Linked DNA regions of Struthio camelus. The protein of the gene in region 2 purifies or fractionates together with the protein of the main gene of each other region. This does not show direct contact. Links are inferred from orthologs where the notes say so. Each region holds a gene or a part of one and is shown on either strand. Other genes may lie near its edges. The genes, in order: C1QBP and NEUROG3.

The links.
Region 1: the proteins of NEUROG3 (region 2) and C1QBP purify together in Homo sapiens (affinity purification with mass spectrometry; 3 studies listed by BioGRID and IntAct, counting the BioPlex papers as one, with this or other methods). This does not show direct contact. The link is inferred for Struthio camelus from reciprocal best matches to the Homo sapiens genes NEUROG3 and C1QBP.

Annotation. Positions count from the first base shown.
Region 1 is NC_090957.1:13,519,669-13,530,556, reverse strand, and holds C1QBP (complement component 1 Q subcomponent-binding protein, mitochondrial), read right to left. Parts: upstream 5,166-10,888; 5' UTR 5,145-5,165; coding exon 4,886-5,144; intron 4,505-4,885; coding exon 4,354-4,504; intron 3,854-4,353; coding exon 3,763-3,853; intron 2,720-3,762; coding exon 2,624-2,719; intron 1,753-2,623; coding exon 1,630-1,752; intron 820-1,629; coding exon 670-819; 3' UTR 390-669; downstream 1-389. Other genes in the region: ATP-dependent RNA helicase DHX33, read right to left, coding at 8,919-9,227, 10,628-10,714.
Region 2 is NC_090948.1:39,201,600-39,212,394, reverse strand, and holds the start of NEUROG3 (neurogenin-3), read right to left. Parts: upstream 4,730-10,795; coding exon 4,227-4,729; intron 1-4,226. UniProt on the Homo sapiens protein: Acts as a transcriptional regulator. Together with NKX2-2, initiates transcriptional activation of NEUROD1. Involved in neurogenesis. Also required for the specification of a common precursor of the 4 pancreatic endocrine cell types.

The DNA.
Region 1 (10,888 bases), on a different chromosome or scaffold from region 2:
AGCCTAGGTTCTACTCCATGACACACAGAAAGGCAGCCAAAACTTCAGTCATACCCTGATTACACTGCAGCCTGCCACAGTACTGACCTCGGACACCTAGAATGAAAGAATCGCATACACAGTTAGCGCTGGCTGGCCAGCCAAATCCCTCCTCCAGACGCAACTATGCCAGTGTTTGTTTAAAGGTGCTAGAATAGCTCTGCCTGGAGAAAACCCGCTGGCAACACACGCTGCCTCCGCATCAACAATTCTGCGGGCAGCTATAGTAACCAGTAACACTGGTTCAGGCCCGGAAAAAAAAAAAAAAAAGAAAACAAGTCATATTATGGCAACTGTCTCTGGTCAGCAGTGGTACAGCAAGAAGAAGAAAAAACACCAGTCTGCAGTGATACATTGAACAGATTTTTATTCTTCACATTCATTCATAATTGTACAAAAACACCAAGTGGGGTGAGGCAATTCCAGGCAGTAGCGTTCTAAAACTTGATCTGGGCATAAATACAAATCCCAAAATACATGCGAGAATCCTCATTTTCCCCCCACGATCCTCATATCCTAATTCAAAGTTACTTACTCTCAGTATCTGTTGTGAAGATATATGTTTGGGCATTGCTAGCTGGAGCGCTGCTGTGCAATACCCCCATTTGACGATTAGTTTCCTATCCTAATCTACTGACATTTGACAAAGCTTTTAAGGTCTTCAAGGAATTTAATGTACTCCTGGTGCTCCAGTGCAGTGCTGAGCTCAATTAACTCATCAGCGAATGTGTTGTCCACTCCTCGATCAGCCAGGAAATCCATTAAGTGATCATACAGAGCCTGGAAGGAAGGAACAGAAAACTTACTGAGCAGAACACACCTGGGTACAGGTTGATTTTAAGATGCCCCATGGCACTGGGCTTTTCTTTCTCTGAGGAAAATCAGACCTTCCTCCTGCACGAGACCAGATACCAGGCACATTTTTTGCAATTAATTTTGTCTCAAGTCAGAATGGGGAAAAAAAAGCAGCACGGGATATTTTAGAGCACACTACCAACGTAATGTGAACACTACCCAAAGATAAATACTCTAAAATGTTAATCACATGATATACAGCTTCAAATTAAGAAGGCTTTAACCTTTTGAAAGCCTGGCATTGAGAACTTTTAAGTACATGCCAGATTCTTGAACAGATTCCAGGTTTGTTTGTTTCTTTTAATTTTATGTCCCCACTAGGAAAACATACCTGGGAAACTTAAAACAAAAATTAAACTACTGTTACGTTGAACATAGATTAAATGATACTTGTGCAAGCATCGTTAAAGCATCTCTAAAACGCAGTGCAGCTAGGAAAAAGCATCATAAACTTCTGAAGCCTGAGACAGAAGTGGTTTCAACATGGAGGCCTCTCACTGCCACTAATGCCACCAGCACTGCATGACTACTGGGACCACATAACAGCCCTCAGTCTGCAGTGGATCTGCAGCACAGAAAAGCATTGCCGCACAGCAAGCCCGGGCAGAGCAGGGGAATCCCCGGTCTCAGGCACCCAGAACAGGATTCATCCAGAATTCAGAAGCAGGGAGTGAGTCCAGGGAAGCTCAAGTGTCCTCTGCAGTCTAAGGCCTTGTTAGTTTTAGCAGCACTTACCCAGTCAAGGGAATCTGTATTGAGGGTGTAGTTGGTTTCCTTCCAATCTGATTCTCCAGCGGGCTGGAAGCTGACCTCTCGAATTGTGAAAATATCACTTTCGTCCTCTCCCTCCTGTCCGACCTGAAACAGGAAATGGAGGCAAGACAAAGATTAGCCCAAACTACAGGGCTCCTTTAGCCACTGCTTCAGCCTGAAGCAAGGAATATTACAGTGCAGGCAAAACCCCACAACCAGTATTAAAGCCATTCCTCTCTTTCAACACATGCCTGTGAAGACAAGCACGCACATGCACGAGAACACAGGAAATCCCAAAAGAGGTCAGTCTACCAGTTCTTGCAACCTGATGTAAGTCAATGACAAAGATGTAAAAATCTCTTCTGCAAGGTTCTAAAACATTCTGTCCTCAGAAGTCTGTCTAACCTTTGACATCAGAGTGTCTGCATAAACGATGTTAAGATGTGCAAAATAAACCACAAAAATCACCCTGAAGCAAAGCTCTCAGTTTAATTCCCCTCCCTTTTTTCTTTTCTTTTTTTTTTTTTTTTTGGCTAATCCCTACTACTCTTCCACCTTTGTGACACCTCAGCACCCATGAGATTTGCAAGTTACTTATACATTGTATTAAATGTATCCTTTAGGCCATTCTTGTTTACCTATCTCAATTTGCCATGCAGTTAAAGAATCCATACCTCCTTTCTCCAATTCAATAAGCTAGCCTATATGTAGCTGATTAGAAAAGCAAGGTCAGGATATAAGGAATGTAATGGAACATCTCCCCAGAGCTTATTCTTGCAGGCTCTTAAAGCCTTTTTTTGTGTTAAACAAGAGAAGCAAGAGAAGACTGCATTTTCTGCAGATTAAGAAAACCAGCAGACTGTTAGAGCAGTTAGATTCAACAGTGGCACAATTACACTGTGGTCAAGCAGGAGATGTGCAGTGAGCCACAGGCCAGAGTTAGCCGTAGCTGACACCTGAGCAGTTCAATACTCACCTCATCTTCAGGATAATGGCAGTCAAGAACAAGGGTCTGTTTTGTATCATCTTTTATTACTTCTACAACAAAGTTTGGAGTTGATGTAATATCAGGCTACGTAAAAGGTAAGAAAGAAATTCACATCAGCATTGGAGTCTGAACGGGAGCTAAAGCAGCCAAGGTACAGCCCAGCAACACAGCCCATCCAGCACCCAGGTTGTTCCCAGTCACCCTCTTTCTTGAGGGCCTCTGGAGTTGTCCTCGCCAAGGCAGCCTCCTCCAACCTCACCCACGGCCCTTCAGCCCCTTCTCTATTCTGCATCTGGTCACGTTGGTAGAACGATCACTAACAACCCAGAGAGCCTGCAACTCACCCAGATTCCTCCCCCTGTAAATTGTTTTGAGAGCAGGAGTTGCTCTCGCCAGCGCTCCTTCACGTGGGACATTTGGCAGTGCACAAAGACTTCCTATGCACACGCACGGACCAAGCGCACTGTGTGTTCTCAGTAGATAAGGGCATGCCCAGGGATGGGGAGCAACGTACAGTCTCCCCAGCCCGCCCAGCTGAGTGTACTAAGCAGTAATGCACTGGAATAAGCACTAACGTTCAAAAAACGCAGAGTAACTGCTATAAACCACAGACATGCAGTACAGTTTCATTCCCTACTTGTTCAACCAATGTCACTGTAGATTAGGCATCTGCCTCAAATCACATTGCTCGCTTAGTTTTACCAGTACTTTTACTCACAGTCTTATGAAAAAGGAGCATGCGACACTCTTCTAATCAACAAAACCATGCAAACAACGTCATGTGAGTAGTTTTGCATTTTGTTGGCATGGCATACCAGTACCATTAGTTACACTAGCTAAGCAAAGTACAAAAGGCAGTATTTATTGTAGCAGGTTACAGAGGCAGCCATAAAGTCAAATATCTCCGTTCCTTTCATCTCTCCTCATACAGAACCCTCTCACCCTCTCTGTCTTCCTGCTACAGAGAGAAGAGGGTCACAGCCAAAGAACAGGAAATTGAGAAAAATCTGCGTTATGTTATCTTTATGCTCCCAAATATCAAATGAGAGAAAAAGCATTAAGGGCAAACAGCTAACTTTCCTGTGTGCTGACATCCATAATAAAGTGTACATAAAGACTATGTTTACCTCCTGCTCATCAGGTTTCTGCTCTTCTTGTGTTTCTTCTTCTTCAAGAGATGGCGGAATGCTGTTATTGATGTTGAACGTAACCGTTATCCTTCAAAAGAACCATAAGCAATTATTTTAAACACAATAAAGAAAATACTTACTGTATCTCTCGTATTTGAAACTTTTGTAGCAGGGACAGCACTACAGCCATTGAATTCACACCTCATGAACGAGATTCAAAGCATATTACATGTTCTGTTCTATTTGTCCTTCCCTCATGTGGTATGTATTGCAGCTTAGAGTTTAAGATGCACGCTCTAATAAAACAGGTGGGCGTTCTTCAAGTTTTATTAGACTGATTTCATGTTTTTAATGGAGGGAGATCTCACAAATCTTTGCAACACACAAAACAAAGCCAACTGGTAAGAAAAACACCTTGGGCCCAGGATGGTAAAATAACGAGCCTATGCAACACCCAGAGTTTGCGCAGCCTGGATAGACAGTGGCACAAGCAACACGAACACACAGAAGAATTGTGATTACTGCTGTCAAGCACACACGCTTGCCCAGATGAATCCTTAGAAACGCCAAGCACCCGTTTGCACTTACTTCTCCCCAGCTATTTTCCGGACCAGCTTGGCCTCTGTGCCATGGACTTCCAGCTCCCACCCTCCAGATATCTTGGGCAGGGATTTATGTTTCTGGATCTTCTTCTCCTCTTTTATTTCATCCGTCAGAAAGGCTGCAAACGCTTTGTCTCCTTAGGAGGCAGCAATAAGGCGAGTGAATAAGAAAGGAAAAAAGCAAGAAACCCCTCGAGAGCGGGCAGGGGCTGCAGATCGCCCCTTCCCCCGCGGCCACCGCGGGAGACGGTGGCGGGGGGGGGGGGGGCAGCACGGCCCGGCGGGGGCCGAGGCCGCTCGTGTCGCACCCCCCCCGCCCGCCACGTGCGGGCCGGGACACGCGCGACCACGTGGGGGGGGGGGAGGGCGCACGTGGCCGCTCGCGCCCCCGCCCCCCTCACGGGGGCCCTGCCCCCCCCCCCAGGGGGCCGTCGCCCTCCCAGAGCGGCTCCCCCCGCCCCCCTCGCCCCTCCTGCCGGGGGGGGTCGCTCCCTCCCCTCGCCGCCGCCCCGGCTCACCCTCGGTGTGGAGGCCGCCGCAGCCGCAGGAGACGCCGCCGGCCGAGCCCCGCCGCGGGCGCAGCAGCGCCCTCCGCCACCCGCCGCCGCCCAGCTGCCACAGGGAGCGCGCCAGCGGGGCGGCGGCGGGCGGCGGCAGGAGGGCGCGGGGGCAGGAGGGGGCGGCGAGGAGGAGAAGGGGGCGGCGGGGCTGGTGGCGGGGCGGCGGCGGGCGCAGGGCGGCGGCGGCGGCGGGGCGCAGGGCGCGGGCGAGCAGCATGGCGAGGCCGGCAGCGGAGGACACCGCCTGGCCCGGAAGTGCCGCGAGTGCTTCCGGCGCAGCGCGCTCCGCCCCCTTCCCGTCCTGCCTCGCGGCAGCGCAGCGGCGAGCGCGCCCCGCCCCGAGCCCGGCGCCGCGGGTTCGAGTCCCGCCCCCGGCAGCTGCGGAGTCCCGCCCGGAAACGCGCTGCTTATGCAAACAGAAGGCGGTAGAGCAGGGCTCGGTCCAGCTTTGCGTTTACCTCCGCTTTACAGACAAGGAAGTGGAAAACCTGAAGTGACTTGCTTACAGCGGTTGCAGAGGGACGCCTGTCAAGGGGGCAGCTCACTACTCTGATGGGCTACAAAGAGCAACAATACACAAGAGCAGCACACGCACCACGTCTACGTCAATATTACATGTATATACATCAATATTTACCACCTCTCCACCCCATGCACTCGGCGGGTGAGGCTCTGGCGCTGCTGAAAGGGTCACAGAAAAGCTCCAGGCGCGTGGAAACGACGCTGAAGCTTCAACACTGACCGCGACAAGAAAAAAGCATCGTTGAGCGCTGAAAGCTTTATCCCTGCATATCCTCCCGGCTCTTTCTTAGAAGAATAGCCAGCTTTCTGGCAAGGCCTCAGAAAGGGGAAACAAATGATTTTTTTTGGCCTTTAGCAATAAATATTTTAGAAGGGGGCGCGACCAAGGCAAACTGCCTCCTGGCTTAAAGCCCGGGCTTTGTCTCCAAGTTGGCACTCTTGTCCCCTATTGACCACAGAATCACAGACTGGTTGAGGTTGGAAGGGGCCTCTGGAGATCATCTAGTCCAACCGCCCTGCTCAGGCAGGGTCCTCTAGAGCGTATTGCCCAGGATCACATCCAGACGGGTTTTGAATATCTCCAGCGAAGGAGACTCCACCACCTCTCTGGGCAACCTGTTCCAATGCTCTGACCAGACCCACAAAAGGCCAATTAGTGCTTGCAGCAAGGCTCTGGCTGGAGAGGTCCGGTATCATGGCTTCAAAGGACCAGGATTTTTGCTCCCCGCTCGTGTTTGAGTCCTGCCTCCGCAATAACTGGGCCCCTCCTGTACGCAAAGCCCAGACTCACCAACCCCTGCTAAGGTTTTATCTTTAAAATCCAAAGTGCTTCAGTGACACCGAAACCCCGGACGGCGTCAAGACAGGACACTCGCCCCCGGACTTCAAGCACTACTATGAGGACTTGTACCGAAACGTCCTGCCATCATTTCTGTTAGCTATGCAGCTTTCCCGCCTCACAAAACGACACCCGGCACTTGGATTTTAGCCATCGCTCTTTATTGTGGGAAAAATATACAAATCAGTTACTTCTAAATCAGTTCCCCATCCCCTCCCTTAAACAGTCTGCTTAATTAGACTGCCCAAACCAAATGTGCTTTTACTCCATTTTCCCCTACAGATGCAGTCTGTATAAACAAGGAAGAGTTACGTACAGTGCTTTGATAATTCCCTGCAGTTTGTGCGAGTGAGAACAATTGAAATAACAGCACACTCTTGAAACACGAATCAAAACCGATAGCTGCTCTTACATACAAAAGTGGCAACGGCTGCCTGTGCCCCGCACACTGGTGTGTTTCTGACCACCAAGGAACAACACCGCAAGAGGCACAACACGGACGCGAGCCCACTTCCACGGGACCCCCGCAAACTTTCAGTATCACCCTTTCCGGGAACAGGCTGAGAGACAAGACCGTTCTTGGTACACTGGATCCCTATCTACTCTCTTTGGAGACAGCAATTTGCAGACCAGCAAAAGTGAAATTCCATTTTTTTTTTATTTTTAAGAGGTATTTGACCCAGTTTTCAAAGAGAGAACCAAGGTAAGTCGAAATCAGGAGCCCAAAGAGAAGGCATATTACAATGTGCTGGGTAACTGTGATGTGTGCAACCAGAAAGGACATTTTGCTAACTGGAAAGTGCAGCTTGTTCCCACAGATCCCACGAGCAAAGCCAGCAGTTTATTTACTCCCCAAGCAAATGGAGTGAGTAAGGGCTTGCCAATATGACTGCATCCCTGAGCAGTCCCACTAAAATGCCATGAGCTTTTATTTTTGTTTTAAGTTGATGCTTGAAGAACGCAAGAACTGAACACCACTTAAGTCAAAGGGTGAAAATCCCGTCACAGCCCATGTTAGCTAACCTCACTGTATTATATAATGACACCGTATTTACAGAACGGCTTTCTCTCCCACTCTATAACAAATCTGCTTTAGTGCAACTCATCCAAAAATCTGTATAAACTAATACACTGTGTCAACAGACTCTGTTGAAACTGGAAGTCACCTCTCCCAGAGAGGTTATTTTAGAACTACTTAGGGCATCATTTAAAAACAACTTAAATTTTTTCTCCACCCACACACAGTCATAATGTAACCAACCCATTTTCCTTCACACTACAGAACAAGTTTTACCTTTGGAGTGGTCTTAGTTCCTTAATTACAGTATTTAAAAAGAGGGTTAAGTTTCTTATTGCCACTTCTCTCCAATAAGAAGAAAAAAAGATAGTTAGATGCCAAAGGGATATGGAAAAATAAAAATAAATACTAATGGCAGATCTATGGTTCTTGACAAACAACGCCAAGCTCCAAACTTCTAATGGAGAGTCAAAGTATAATTGGGGCCTGGGGGGGCGGAAGGGGGAAAGAAGCACCGGTGTCAGAGCAGAAGAAAGGTTTGATGATTCCAGTGCCTTTAAAGGAAGTCTAAGAGTCTAAACTACATCTTCGTACTTGGTTTGCTGAGTTCGCCTCAAACTAGCTTGACTAGCTATTGTGGACGGTGTGCCAACTCCAAAGCCAGAAGTGTCCAGATACAGAGCGGGGAAGGACGTAAGAGTTTGCTGCTAAAACGCTGGATCCTTCCCAGGAGTGAGTCCCTCCTCCTGTTTTAAGAAGTTTGGCTCTTCAGAGGAAGAAAATCGCTCTAGACAGAGCAGATTGCATCTTTCCACGTGGAACCGTGGGGCCAAATATTGAGAATCTACAGCTGCCTCCTCCACGTGCATCAGACACAGAGGAATTGCATGCCCTAACAGCAAAAGGGAGAACAAAAGCAACATCAAATGCACAGGTGGCTGGACAGCCCCTCCGAGAAAATACTACCAGCCCCTGGGACACAGACACAGGCAATGAAGACCTGTCCAAGCAGGTGACGCCATTACTAGCTTTCAGCTGGTCCCAAATGACGTGGTGAATATGACATGCAGGCAGGAAGATGTTTAATGAGGTAAAAGACAGTAGCACCTCCCTTCTAGAAATAGTTTAAAAAAGGCATTTTTTCCCTGTATGTAGAGATTTAAAACTTTTTTCTCCTTTTTTTGCCAATAAAACCTGCTAAGGATACAAGCACAATCATCAAAAAATACCAAGTCTGCTCAGAAGAGCTCTTAGGATTTCATTTCTTCGTATACAAGCTCGTTAAAGTTTAGTAAGTGTTAAAAACTGGAATCTGATACCAGCTCCCTTTCCCCCCCCCCAACACAGATTTATCACTCTCACACACACACACGCGTGCACACAGAGTACTTGTTATGTTTCCCTTTTACAGATTAACTGCTATAAAGGATGATTGTTCTAAGCCATGGAGACTTGTGAGGTCTGGCTCTCACAGAGAAGCCATTTTTCCTCTAAGGTTTTTACCCGATTTACAAGGCAAAGCTCTACCATTCCCATACATTCATTACAAAACAAAAAATAGCCTCATTAGGTGAGCCTAAAAATCCTGGTCCTGTTAGCCCCAGGCCTGCAGGTCAGTTCTTGGCTGTTCTGAGCTTCCTGCGGAAATAGTCAGGGGCTGCATCATACAGCCAGTCCGCATCCACCACACAGAGATCCCGCATGTAGCACTTGTTGGTGTGAAGCAGCCCGTTGTAAACCACGCAGGCCGGCTTGCAGTGGAACAGCACAGAAGAGGGGTGGATGGCCACCAACTGGTAAGAGTCCACGGTGGTGTAAGTGCCGTCCGGCTGCAGCTCCGCAGCGTTCATGAAGAGGCTGTGAGCTAGGCAGCGGCGGATGTTTCCAGTGTCTGAGCGGGAAGACTCCATTGGCATCGATAGCTGGTTAGCAGTGAGAGAGACAAGGTGGTAGGTAGCACCTTTAGAGAGCATCCTGCAGCCCAGGCTCAGACACCCCTAACATCACATCTAAAGAAGTTAAACAGCAAGCTGGAGGCTCCCGCATAGCCCAGAAGAGCACATCACTTTCTGGCACTCATTCTGACAGCTGGGACCCCAAAAGAGAGGGGATCTTGGCCCTGCAGAGTGAGCTCAGGTACTGTTCTAACTTCACTTGCAGGCTCTCAGAGAAACGCTTCTGCCAGGAGAGAAGGCCACATGAAGAGGACAGCCTGCGGCTTCTGCTCCAGCTGGGCTTTCATGCATGCTTTGCAGGGAAACATCAGCCTTAGCAACACCTCAGTACTCCTAATTCTCCAGAGCTACTGTGCCCATGCTACCCAGCTCTGAAATCCTGCCCTCCTTGGATCTTTGGCAGCCATAACCAGGGCAGGAGAGATGGAAGCCATAGCATCAAGCGGGCTGCACGGCACTTTGCAGTCACACACCCTAAAGTGCACAAGGTACTGCTCACTATCAAATGGCATTAGCTTTTACTTCTCACACAGATCTGTGTTTGTCCAGAGGGACTCCATTTGGGAGTTATTTTCACAATGTGTTCTTCTCGTGCCAAAGAGTAAGCAAGCGTGTATGTGCACCCTCAGGGGGAAACGCAACTCCATTTCAATGGGCTTCTGAGGCCAGGCAACACCATGCCAGCAATTCAGCTAGCCTATGAACTACAAAACCTCTGGGACCTCTGGGAATTCAGCGCAGACAGGGCTTTGTATTGAGGCATTAGGCTAGTCCAGACTAACAGCAGAAAGGAGAAGAGTCACAAAACGGATCCAGACTCCCCTTCTGCAAGTCAGCGTCAGGCCAGCTAGCATTCACAATAGGACAGGGGTGCGCGGCTGCGCGGCTCCCACGTCACGTACGGACTGCAAGTAATCCAGCCCTGGCTCCTGTGCTATCGCTCAAGCTGGGCAACTGGCAGGAGCAGTGCTGATGTGAAAGCTGCTCCTAAGCTGAATGCCCGATTATGGGAAGAAGCCAGCCAGCATGGGCTGTGGAGGCTGCCATCACCCAGTGGCACACAGCACAGTCCCACCTGCACTATAGCAGCGGGATCCCTTAGGAAAAACTGTCCTCTGCCTGAGAAGCCTTCCCAGAGCCCCACTTCTCTCTACACCTCTCCTAGACGCATTGAGGCCTGCAGCTCTAAGATTCTGGAATGCAATCTGCACAGTCAGGAATTTTCCCCAGCTGTTCATTAGGAACTGAAAACACAACCAGGTTTGCTGCTCCTGGGACTTGGTGCACAAGGAAATCATTTGGGGGACAAACAGAAAAGAAAAATGCAAATAGACAAAACTAAGAAATAGAGTATGGCAACAAGTTACCTTTACGCAAATGTCCCTGAGCTGAGCTCTGACGTCCGACACGAGCATCATGTTCCTGCTGTTGACAAAGTTCTCTTTGCACCATTCCTGCAGCAGAGGCACCAAGAGTGAGAAGGGGCTGCTGCTTCACCCAAGAAGCATGAAAAACCTTTGGATACCATGAAGAGCAGAAATCTCCAAAACACACCATCTCCTAGAGAACAGGTGCTAACCCTTTTCCTTGTCAGATTTCTACCTGTGATTGCTGCCCTCTGTCTACAT
Region 2 (10,795 bases):
AGCTCCCCGGCCGCCCCGGGGCCTTCATCCCCTCTGCTGCCTCCTCCTGGAGCCCCTCGTCCTCCTCAGGTGGGCTCCAGAGCAAACCAGCTCCAGGTGGCCACCATGCAACCGCAGGAGCTAAGTATTGACCGAGCGCTATCTGAGCAGCCACCTTATCAGGGAACTGGCGGGCTCCGGGCTCGCAGCACCTGCTTCATTAATCTTCCCCCTGTCCCAGAGGCGCGAGGTCTCGGCGGCCGCAGCAACCTGTTTGCTGACCGAGCAGAAGAGTTGGGCAAAGGCAGGGGGCTGGCTCCCCCTCGCCCATCGCCGGCGGCTGCCCAGCAGCTGGCTCCGAGAGCCGTGTTTTTCCAGGCGGTTTATGGATGATGGATTGGTACGTGGGAGGTGGAAAGGGAGAGGATTGTTTTTGCTCTCCTGCCATCCCCCACGCCTAGAGGGAGGGGAGCGAGGACGCGCAGGTGCCTTTCTGACGTGGGCGTGCGGGTGCGAACGTTTTCTTTCCGTCGGCATTTTGCTGGCTACTAAAGGCTTTGGGGAGGCACGGGGGAGAAGGTGAGCTCCATACGACTAGGTAGGCTGGGGAGAGCACTTCCCCGCAACTACGGTCTCAAGTAATTGGGCTTTCACCCGAGCGAGGAGGCCGCGTCTCAGCCTGCCGCAGCTCCGAGCGAACGCGGAGACGCGGCCGGCTACGTCAGCGCCAGCTCCGGGCAAAACTGACAGCTGAAGCCCCCCAGAAAACGAACGGAAACCTCGCAGCTCCCTGCCGTGGTAGAGCTGGGGCCGGGCTGTGCTGCTCCCCCCGCCCCAGGCCTAGCGTGTGCAGCCCCCGGACCAGGCAGGATGAAGTTTCCCTCTTCCACAAACTTGTGATCTCCTTTCAGCGATTGCTTTTTGTATTGGTTTTAAAAGGGGGGCACTGCAGCTTTAAAGAGATTCCCAGACTTGCCTTTGTGCCGGGAGGAGAGGGTGGGGTGGTGGCCGAGGTGGGGACCCAGAAGAATGAAATAAAGAGAAGTACAACAAAAAGAAGTTAAAAGTGTGAGTGACAAGTTTTCGGCAACAGGCTTCAGCCCCTGTGGGGTCGTTTGCACCGAGAATGGAAACAAATGAACAAATGAGCTGGATTTTCATGCTTGGTGGACAGTGAATGAATAAGCATCTTTTAAAACCCTATCAGGAACTCTTTGGATTGTCATTATAGCTGGGGGGGGGGGGGGGGGAGCAGACTTTTGAGCGCTGGCCATGTGAAAGAATCCCGATTCTTCGCCTTTTCTTGGCCGGGGAGCGCAGCAGCTACGCCGAAACGCGCAGCCGGGGCGAGACGACGGGTGCGCACCGGCCAAGGAGACCCCGCGAGGCAGCGCAGGGCGCCCCGGTGCAGAGGCGCAAGCGGCGCGCTAGGAGACGGGACGAGCGGGTTGTTGGCAGGGGTGCGCGCCGATTCCCGCTGGCACAGAGGGGTAGGAGGGCGTTGACAGCGCTGGCTGCCTCCTCTGCCAGGAGACCTAGGTATCGGGGCAAACAATGGCCAAGGGCAGGCGGCGACTCCCCTCGGGCCATATTTATAGCCCGGAGCGGAGGCCTGGGGTCAAAGGAATTGCCCTGGAACGATGGGAACCACCTCAATTTTCTCTCCAGCCTTCAGACACGACTGAAGTTCAACAGCAAAACGCAGCTACCTACCTGCTGTACGCTGCTAGAAGAGGAGAGAGGAGGTTTGGGGGACAGGTTGAAAGCCTCCTCATTTGTATAATGGAATACAACACTACATATTCAAAAAACACATATTCTGATGAACACAAATGATCCCAACATCCAGACGCAGCCACCTTTGTTTCCCAGTTGAACCTTTCACAGTGTGAGTAACTAAACAGAAAGGCGTCACCTGAAAGTGAGCATGTAGGGCATGAAAATGTCAGCTGGTGGTCGGAGGGTTTCCCCCGGCTGCAAAAATAAAAGGCGAGCCTGCTTTGCATGGGATCGCAGTGACCGCATCCAGCAACGCATGGGCAAAGTTTGTTTTCAGACTGACGCTTGCAAGTATGTGAGGGTGCAAGTTTGTGTCTCTGAGATGGTTGCGATCCCAGCGGCCACCTGTTTGTTCCACATCAGAAAGTCCGGAGGCCATTACAGAAGCCATGGTTATAAAGGCAGGGCGCTGGCGCCGGGACAGCCCAGTGAAGAGAAATGAGACCATCATGCACTAAACATAGAGAAAAGATAAATGGAAAAGGAGTCTTTCAGTCTTCATTATCAAGTTTCCATGGGTTTGCCAAAACCATAGCAACCAGTTCAAGCAATGATTAACCTAATAATGTGGAGGCAAAGAAAAAAAAAATGCATTCAAGCCCCTAAAGAAGTCACTAGTTCTCCAGAGGTAGTAAATTCCCCCCGCTACCCCCACCCCAACATACAGACCCACGGCTGGAAGACCGGAGGCATCCTAAATCTCCGGAGAGAAGAATCTGCCATGCAGTAAAACCCACCGGAGTGACCACTTTCTGAAAATGCAGCTGCACAGTCACCTCTCAGGACTTCTATAATACCTGCAGTCCACTGGCCTCTCAGGTTCTCACCCCTTCTCTTGTCCGTACATACCCTCAGCTGCATTTTTGCAATTTTTGCAAAAAACGCTCCTTTTGAAGGATACCTGACTGTGCAGTTATCCTCCCCACTCCCGTGGCACATGCAAACAGCATAAGGTGATGTTGTCCCATAGGGAGATATCGGCGAGGAGCTGGATGAGAAGGGGAAGAGGCTAAATGATTGTATCCCCCCGATAATCACGGTGTTTTGGCTGTGGCCACACACGAGGCCTCGGAGCACTTTTGCAGAGTGTTAAGGTATGAAAACAATAAGCAATTCAGCCGGAGGAGGCGGGGAGGGGGGAGAAGGGGGAGGAATACCATTAGGTCTTTCATTCTGCCTATCTGATCTATGGTGCAGATAGATCACGGTCAGGGATATAGCAGTACACACACACACACACACACAGGCACAGGCTTTCCCTAGTCCTCCGCCTTGTCCCACGCCTCGCAAGCAAGGTGGATATCGCTTCCCGAAACGCAGGTGCCTGGGGGGGTGGAGGGGGTGGTCCCCCCCGGCCCGGCCCGGCCGCCTTCAGCACCATGGCCAGGGCCCGCGGCGGAGCCGGGGGGGGGGGGGGCACCGTGCGCCTTTGTTTCCAGTACCCAAATTTCTTTTGTTCTACAAATTGCCTCAATAGCGTCTCTTCGCTGCTGGCAAATGGGCTCCGCTGAGAACAATTAGCATCACAATGGGCTTTCGGCCTTCGCGGGCCGCTTTGTCTGGCGCCGGCCGTGCTCCCGCGGCGGCGGCGGGGAGGCAGCGCGGCCGCGGAGCGGCGCGGAGCGCCGGCGGCAGCGCGTGGGAGGTGCTTCCCCCCCGTCCCCGCCACCTCCCGCGTTTTTAACCCGTCTAACGTCCTCCCAGCCGCAGCGCTGCCCCTCGGGGACAGCCCCGAAATAACGCCGGGAGGCCGCTGAGCAGCAGGCGGGAGCGCGCAACGCCCTGCGCGGGTCTGCGCGCAGCCCGGGGGGGGGGGGACGCGGAGGGGGAAGCGCGGCCGCTTTAAAGGCCGCCCGCGGCACCGCGTTACCCCCCGTGCCCGGCCCCGAGCGCCCGCGGCCACCGCCGTCCGTCCGTCCGTCCGTCCGTCCGTCCCCCTGCGCGGGCAGGCGGCGGCTGCGCGCGATTTTGAAGCCGAAGGCAAGCCCCTCGCTGGGAAAAACATCGCGTTGCACAGGTCGGACGGCGACACACTTTATTCTCCGTGTCAAAACAAAAAAAACAAAAACAAAAAAAAAAACCACAACACAACATCCGTGGCTCCCCCTCCCCGGTACAAAAACCGGACCACCGCTGCCAAAAATACTCTTATATACAAATATATAGATATATATATTTTTTACGAAATATTAGTTAATAAATACCGATAGCGACAAATTAATATAATTTACCGTTTCCGAGTACAAAACCGTGATTTGTTTTTGCCTGTCAGCTCCCGCTGCGGTTCAGCCAAGCGGGACGGGGCAGCGGGGCGCATCGCCCCCCGTCCCACCCCAGCTGGCCGCGCAAAGTGCGAGCGGGGCCGGGGAGGGGGGCGAGCGGCGCGCGTCCTCCCCGGCTATTTTAAGGGCAAAAGCGAGGCAAAAGCGGAAAGGCCGGCGGCGGGCTCAGAGCAGAGCGGGGAAAGCGGCGGCGGCGGGGCGGCGGCGCGGGGCGACCCCCAGGGCCCCGGGGGGGCGGCGGAGGCGGTGGGCGGCGGCGGGGGGGGCTCGGGCAGGCTCTGCTCGGCCAGGCGGAGGCTCTGCGTGAGCGCCCAGATGTAGTTGTGGGCGAAGCGGAGCGTCTCGATCTTGGTGAGCTTGGCGTCGTCGGGGAAGGTGGGCAGGACGCTGCGGAGCGCGTCCAGGGCGGAGTTGAGGTGGTGCATGCGGTTCCTCTCCCGGTCGTTGGCCTTCATGCGCCGGCTCTTCTTCTGCTTGCTGAGCATCCCCTCGCTCCGGGCCTTGCCGCGGCCCCGCCGCGCCTTGCCCTTCCGGCGGGCCGCCTCCCGCGGGGCCAGCGCGCCGCGGACCGGCGAGGCGGCCCGGCTGCCCGCGCCCGGCGAGCCGCCGGCGGCCGAGGAGGCGGCGGCGTCCGAGCCGCCGAAATAGGGCTGCCCTTCGCCCGGCGAGCAGTCGCTCTGCGGGGCCATCCTGCAAAGCCAAGCCCCCGCGTTAGCCCGCCGCCGCGGGGAGCGGCGCTGGGGCCGCCGCGGGCGCGCACAGCCGCCGCCGCCGGCCGGGCGCCCCCTCGCCCCACGCCGCGCTGCGGCACCAGCTTTTACCTGCGTCCCCTGGGGGGAAATCCCGGGGCGAGGCTCCAGGCCAGCCGGCGGAGCGGGAGAGCGGCTCGTCCTGCTCCGTGCCCCCCGCCCCGTCCCCGCCTCTCCCCCCTTCCCCGCTTTCCCTCGAGCGCGGGGAAGCGCAGGTTGCGCGGCCGGCACACGACTGCCTTTAAGCCCCTATATATAGGGCCGGGAGACAATGGGGATTTCCCGGTGCGGGCAGCGTGTGCGCCCCCCCGCCCGCACCCACCCCTTGGCACGCTTTTATCTTATCAGCCCCGGCGGGAGCGTGCCGGGCCCGGCACCGCCCGCCGCCCCGGCCGGGCCACGCGAGCCCCCGCCGGCTCCCACGGCGCCGCGCGGCGGGGACGGCCCTCCCTCGCCCGACGGCCGCCGCGGCCCGGGGGGGGCTGAGCCCCGCGGTGCGCTGCGCAGCGCTGCCCGCCGGGGCCGGGACCCCTCGCCGGAGCCGCCGCCCGCGGCCGGGGCGCACCGGGGTACCGCGGCGGCCGTCGGGGGGGCGGCGGCGGCGGCGGGCAGCGGGCCGGCTCCGCGGAGCCCCGGGGGCGCGGCGGGCCGGGCTGCGCGCCCGCGGAGGTGCCGAGGACGCGCCGGCGGCCGGGCGGGCTCCCGCCCCGATGCCGGCCCCCGAGGGAGCGCCCGGCCCCGCTTTGGCCCCGGGGCCCCTCTCGCCTGGCCCAGAGGCAGTGCCGCCCCGCGGGGCGCTCCCGGCACCCCCCGCCCTGCCCCGCGCCGCCCCCCGAGGGAAGGGGGCCCGGGGCCGCCTCCGCGCTCCGCGCAGCCGGCGGGGAGCAGCGCCCCGGCCCCAGCGCGCCGGGCCGCGGGGCGCAGCTCGCCGGCCGCCGCCGCGCTCCGGCGCCGCCGCGCCTTGCCCGCTCCGCCCTGGGGGCAGCGGGGGCCGGAGCCCACCGGGACCGGGCCCCCCGGCCGCCCCCGCGGGCCGCGCCGCCCCAGGCCGGCGCTCAGCCCCGGGCGGGCCGGCCCCTCGCCGCGGCTCGGCGCGCAAAACGTGCCGGGGGATTTTTGCGCACCGGCGCCGGCGGGCGGTGGGGAGCGACGTGCGCGCCGGGCCGCCTTTGCCCGAGGGCGGGCGGCGGGGGCCGGCGAGCGGCGGGGCCGGGCCCCCCGCAAGGCGCGGAGCCTCCGCCGGGGCCGGGCCGGGGCGCGGGCCGAGCCGGGCCGCCGCCACCCGGGAGCCCCCCGCTCCTTCGCCAAAGCAGCGCGGCGGCGGCTCCGCGGCCTCGGCGCACGTCTTGCCGGGCGGGGGAGCGGGGCCGAGGCGGGGAAGGCCCCGCTGGCGGTTCGGGCGCCCCTTCCAAGGGGGGCGGCGAGGAGGGCAGGGGAGGATGAATAGGAAGGGCCCGGCAGGTTTTTTTTGTGCCTGTGCAAATTGGACGACAAAAAAAATCTGGTGAGCGAGTTTCCAACCCTTAGACTGCCCACTTCAAACGTCCTTCAAACAAAAGCTGAAGAGGAAAAGAAAGCCCCACCTGGTACCACTGTTTGCTAAAATAATAATAAATAGATTTCGTTTAATAAATAATTACAAGAGATTGTAAAGTGGAGTGCTTTGGGAAGCATTAATCATGGGGCTGGGGGCAGACATCACCTGCTGGCAAACAAGACAACTTTATTGTTAAATCACCTTCCCACTGCCACTTTCTGATAACTCCCTCCTATTGCCACAATGCCCGGCCGGGTATGTTTACTCATAGTTAGCATAACAAGCACAATATTACCACAAACGTGATAAAAATCTCCGGGGGCACCACATTAGGCTCCTACTCACACCTGTCTGAGCCGCTCCAGCGCAGGGCTGGCACCAAATGGCCCTTCCAGGAGGGGCCCTTCTGCCGTTTACATTGGCCTATTTTATGCTACTTTATAACAGGTTTACTGCAATCCCTATCTCCAGGCCCTATTTGTCTTATTTTATTGAAAACATATGGTAACCAGTGGAGCCCCGGCCCATCTTTCGCCTGCCAGGCGTTGGAGACGTTTTGCAATCCGGGCTCGGCCGCAGCCTGGCCTGCCCAACTGGTGCTGTTTGATCGGAAGCGGGCAGGCGAGATAAGGGCCGGTGCGGCTCCCGGCCCCCTCTCCGGCACGGCCGGGGGCTGGCAGCCCCCTCCGCCGCCGCCCGGCCGTGGGGCACCGCGGGCCACCGCGGCCGCGGCTCGGGCGCGGCGGGGCCGCGCGGGTGGCACCGGGCGCGGGGGGCAGCGGGCTCCCCCGGCAGCTCGCAGCCCGCCGGGCCCGGGGCCGGGAGCGGGAGCGGGTCCGCGCCGCGCCGCGCCGGGCGCACGGCGGGCAGACGCGGCTCCGGGGCGCCGCTCCGCTCCGCTCCCCCGCCGGGGCGTGGGGGGTTATTAAGGAGCTACCGTGATTTGTGGTGCCATATGTTGAGCGGCTCCTCGCAGAAGCCCTTCAGCGCCGGAGCAGCTGCTTCCCCGGCCCTACCTACCCGGCGCATAATACCTGTGAGCCGGCGTGCCGGCGTCCCCCTTTGAGAGAGGGCAGCTCCGCGGAGCGCGCTGCCAGCGCCTCTGCTTTGTGACTTTATTGTGCCGTCCAACAGATGCACGGCTGCCCCAGCGCCCCGGCCGCCAGCGCGCTGCGCGGGACACAAGGAGCGCAGATGCCAGGCGCAAGGTGCACCAGATGCCCCCCTTTGTGAACGGCGGATTCAAACAATATTTCTCCCTTCCTCCCCCCGCCCTTCCTCCTCCTCCTCCCGCAAGTGGGAAAGGAGAAGGGGCAAAAGGAGGCCGGGGTGGGGGGGGGGAGGAAGAGAAAGGAAGAGACGCCCCAGCAAGCGGAGCCGGCAGCGCGTCCCCCGCTCGCCCGGAGCGGCCCGACGGGGCGCACGGCCGAGCCGCCCCGGCTCCGCGGAGCGCAGCGCCCCCGGGGAGCCCCGGCCCGGCCCGGAGCGCAGCCCCGCGCCACGGAGCCCCGCCGCGGCACCGGCGGCAGGAGCCCCGAGGGCGCGCACGGGGGCCTGGAGAAGCCTCCTCGGGAAATCATTAATTACCCGGCGAGCGCTAAGCAAGCAGTCCGGGGAGCCGTGAATGGGCAGAGCGGCAAGGGGTGTTTGGAAACGGGACGGCAATCCCCAGCAAGCCCCGTTTCGCCACAGTAAATCTTCCAGCCTTTTGTGTCCGGAGTCTGGCGCCAGAGGAAAGAGCCCTGAGCGACCGGTACACATCCTCAGGGGTGAGCTAGCAACAGCCCTCCCCAGCCTGCCCTAGCCTCGCTGGTGAAAAGGCTGTGTTCCCCCGCCCGGGACCCAATCCTGCACTGTTTTATCCTGGTGTGAGCGACTCTTTGCCAGGTGCAGCCAGTGGCTGCCCCCGGGGTCTGGCTGCTGCCCGTGAGCCCGTGGACCGGTCCCTGCAGTAACGGAGCCAAGCGCCCCGTGGGGCCAAGGCAGCCTGGCTCGAGGCAGAGCCAGGCTACGCCAGGAGTAACATCTCCCCCGGGTTACTGCTCCCTCCTGCCACCGGCATCCCTGGCACAGCTCCCAGCGGCACGCAGCCCAGCCGCTGCAAATGCCGATCCGCTCCCCGAGCACGCGGCAGCCAACGCAGCCTTCATTCTGCAGAGATCTGGCTCAAAGGCCTGGCCCTTGCCCCACCTGAGCAGTTTTCCTCTAGTCCTGCCGGGAGCTGGGGCTTTTCCCCTTGCAGTCTTGGACTGACAGAGGCTGGGGCTTCAGTCTGCTCCAGGGCAGGAATAACGGAGCACTGCCTGTGGGCTCCGGGGTGGGGGACACTGTGCTGCGTCAGAAGAGAAGTAGACCTGATCATATCTGGGGAGAGAACCCAAGAAGGTCTCCTCTATGGTAAACCTTTCTCCATGCTTACGTGTCCTTAAAAGGTAGTCTGATGGGAGATGGCTTCATAAGGTCACAAGAGCAGACAGCTGTCCGGACGCCAAAACGTTCCTTAGGTCAGAATACAATAAACCCAAGCATGCCAAAAGCCTAGGTTATCTCTGGAAGGAAAACAGGTATCATGTACAAAACGGTGAGAGTTAGATACCAACCTGCGGTGCCTACAGGTGGGTGCTGTGAAACCTGTTACATTACAGTACTTACCCAATCCTCCAAGTACCTACCCAGGTAAAAAAATGTAGCCCTCACCTCGCTGGGGCTTGGTTACCTCCCATCCTTCCAGGCTGACAAAGCTTGCTCTCCCTCTCTGCTTTGTGGCAAACAGTTCCTTGCCTCAGGCCTTATTTTGTGAGAAGATCCTGCCAGAATGAGGGTTTCTTCTTTTACCCCGGTCAGAGCCTGGGCGGAAGGGATGGGTTAGATGTCTAGCACGTTCCCTCATTCGGATTTCCCAGGCGCCATGCTTCTGAAGCACGCTTCTGGCTAGAGCTTTGCAAAGCCGCCAATCCAACACCCCTTGCCGCTCAGCGAAACTAGGTCAGCATCCCAACGGGCGTTCGAGCACAAGTCCTCACTTTAAGCCACAAGACGGTCCCGGGGCCCCGAGTCAGCACGTCCTGCTGTATGTGGCCGCACAGAAATCTGAAAGAACCGCTGTAATCAGAAACTTTTACTTTCTGCGCAGCCACGTTTCAACAGCAGGAAGCTGTTGGTGTCTCGAGCGCTTGGACTTAGCCAATCCGCAGTGGTTGTCTTGAGCTGCCAGCTGCAAAAAAGCACATTTGAGACTTCAGCATTCATTTGCATAAATCCTCCTTTGGCCATCAGTTACTAGCCACCAACTAAGGGTACGCATGCGTTTCTCGGATTGTTGTCTTCCTGAACGACATTTCTGTCTTGTAAGGGCAAAAATGCAACTTTCTGCGTTTTAGTGAAGTTGCTATGGCACTGAACGGCACCCTGGCACGCTGTCACGCTCCTCATCTGTCCCCACGCTGCCCGTCAGGCAGACAGACAGCGCTTTCTGACCTCTGAAAACAGGCAGAGGCAGGCTTTCCTCTCCCATTTGGAGGCTCCACTGGTCAAACGTCAACCATACTAGAGGGCACCAGAGCTGGCGTTTGAGCAGCGACAGAGTTGCGAAAAGCCCGGAGCCTCCGGGACTCGTTTCCAGTCCTGGCGCGGGAGCAAGGGCAGCCGGGCCTGGAGGGACCAGCCCAGCAGCAGCCCCCCGCAAGCTGCCCCCGAGCCGCCGCTGCAAGGCAAGGGAAGGTCTCGCCGCTCCTTTGCAAGCACAAGTCACTGCAACATGACCGTGCTCTAACCAAGCAAAGATCAGGTACCGGGATGCAAAAACAAGCCCAATGAGCGGCACGCTCATGCACCACCCTCAGTGTATGCAGAAGGCGTTGAACTGGGAGCAGGGAAATCATAAAAATGATCATGAAAAATGATCAGAGCATCACATCCAGCAGAAAAAAATAGTGATTTCTCCAGCAGGTCCAGCGCAGCTCCCCTTCCACTGCCACGTGATGTGGCCGGCATCCAGCCGGCGCTGGGGTCACTGCTTTAACCAAATCCCTGCTGGCAGGAAGGATGTGACCCCACGAAGGTGCTGTCACAGCCACTGCCAGGCAGACCCGCAGCTCCAGCTCGCTCGCCTCCCAGCGCCTTTCCGGATATGCCAGGCAGCTGGCAGCCCTCAGCACTGTGACCACCCTGGTGCCCCGAGACCATCTCAGGGAGCGAAGCACAGTTCGCAGCCTGAGCGCTAGCCCAGGAGGTGCTGGCTGCCGTAATGCGCCAGCCCTGTGCCCAAAGCGGGGGCCCCGTCCCCTCCCCGGCCGTCCCGGAGCCAAGTTGCTGCTCCCTCATTCTCAGCTGCAGCCCCTTGCTCAGGAGGGATGGTCCCTCTCCACCTGCTGCGGCCTCTTTCTCAGGAGGGATGGGGTCTCCTCACCTGCTGCGGCCCCTTTCTCAGGAGGGATGGGGTCTCCTCACCTGCTGCAGCCTCTTTCTCA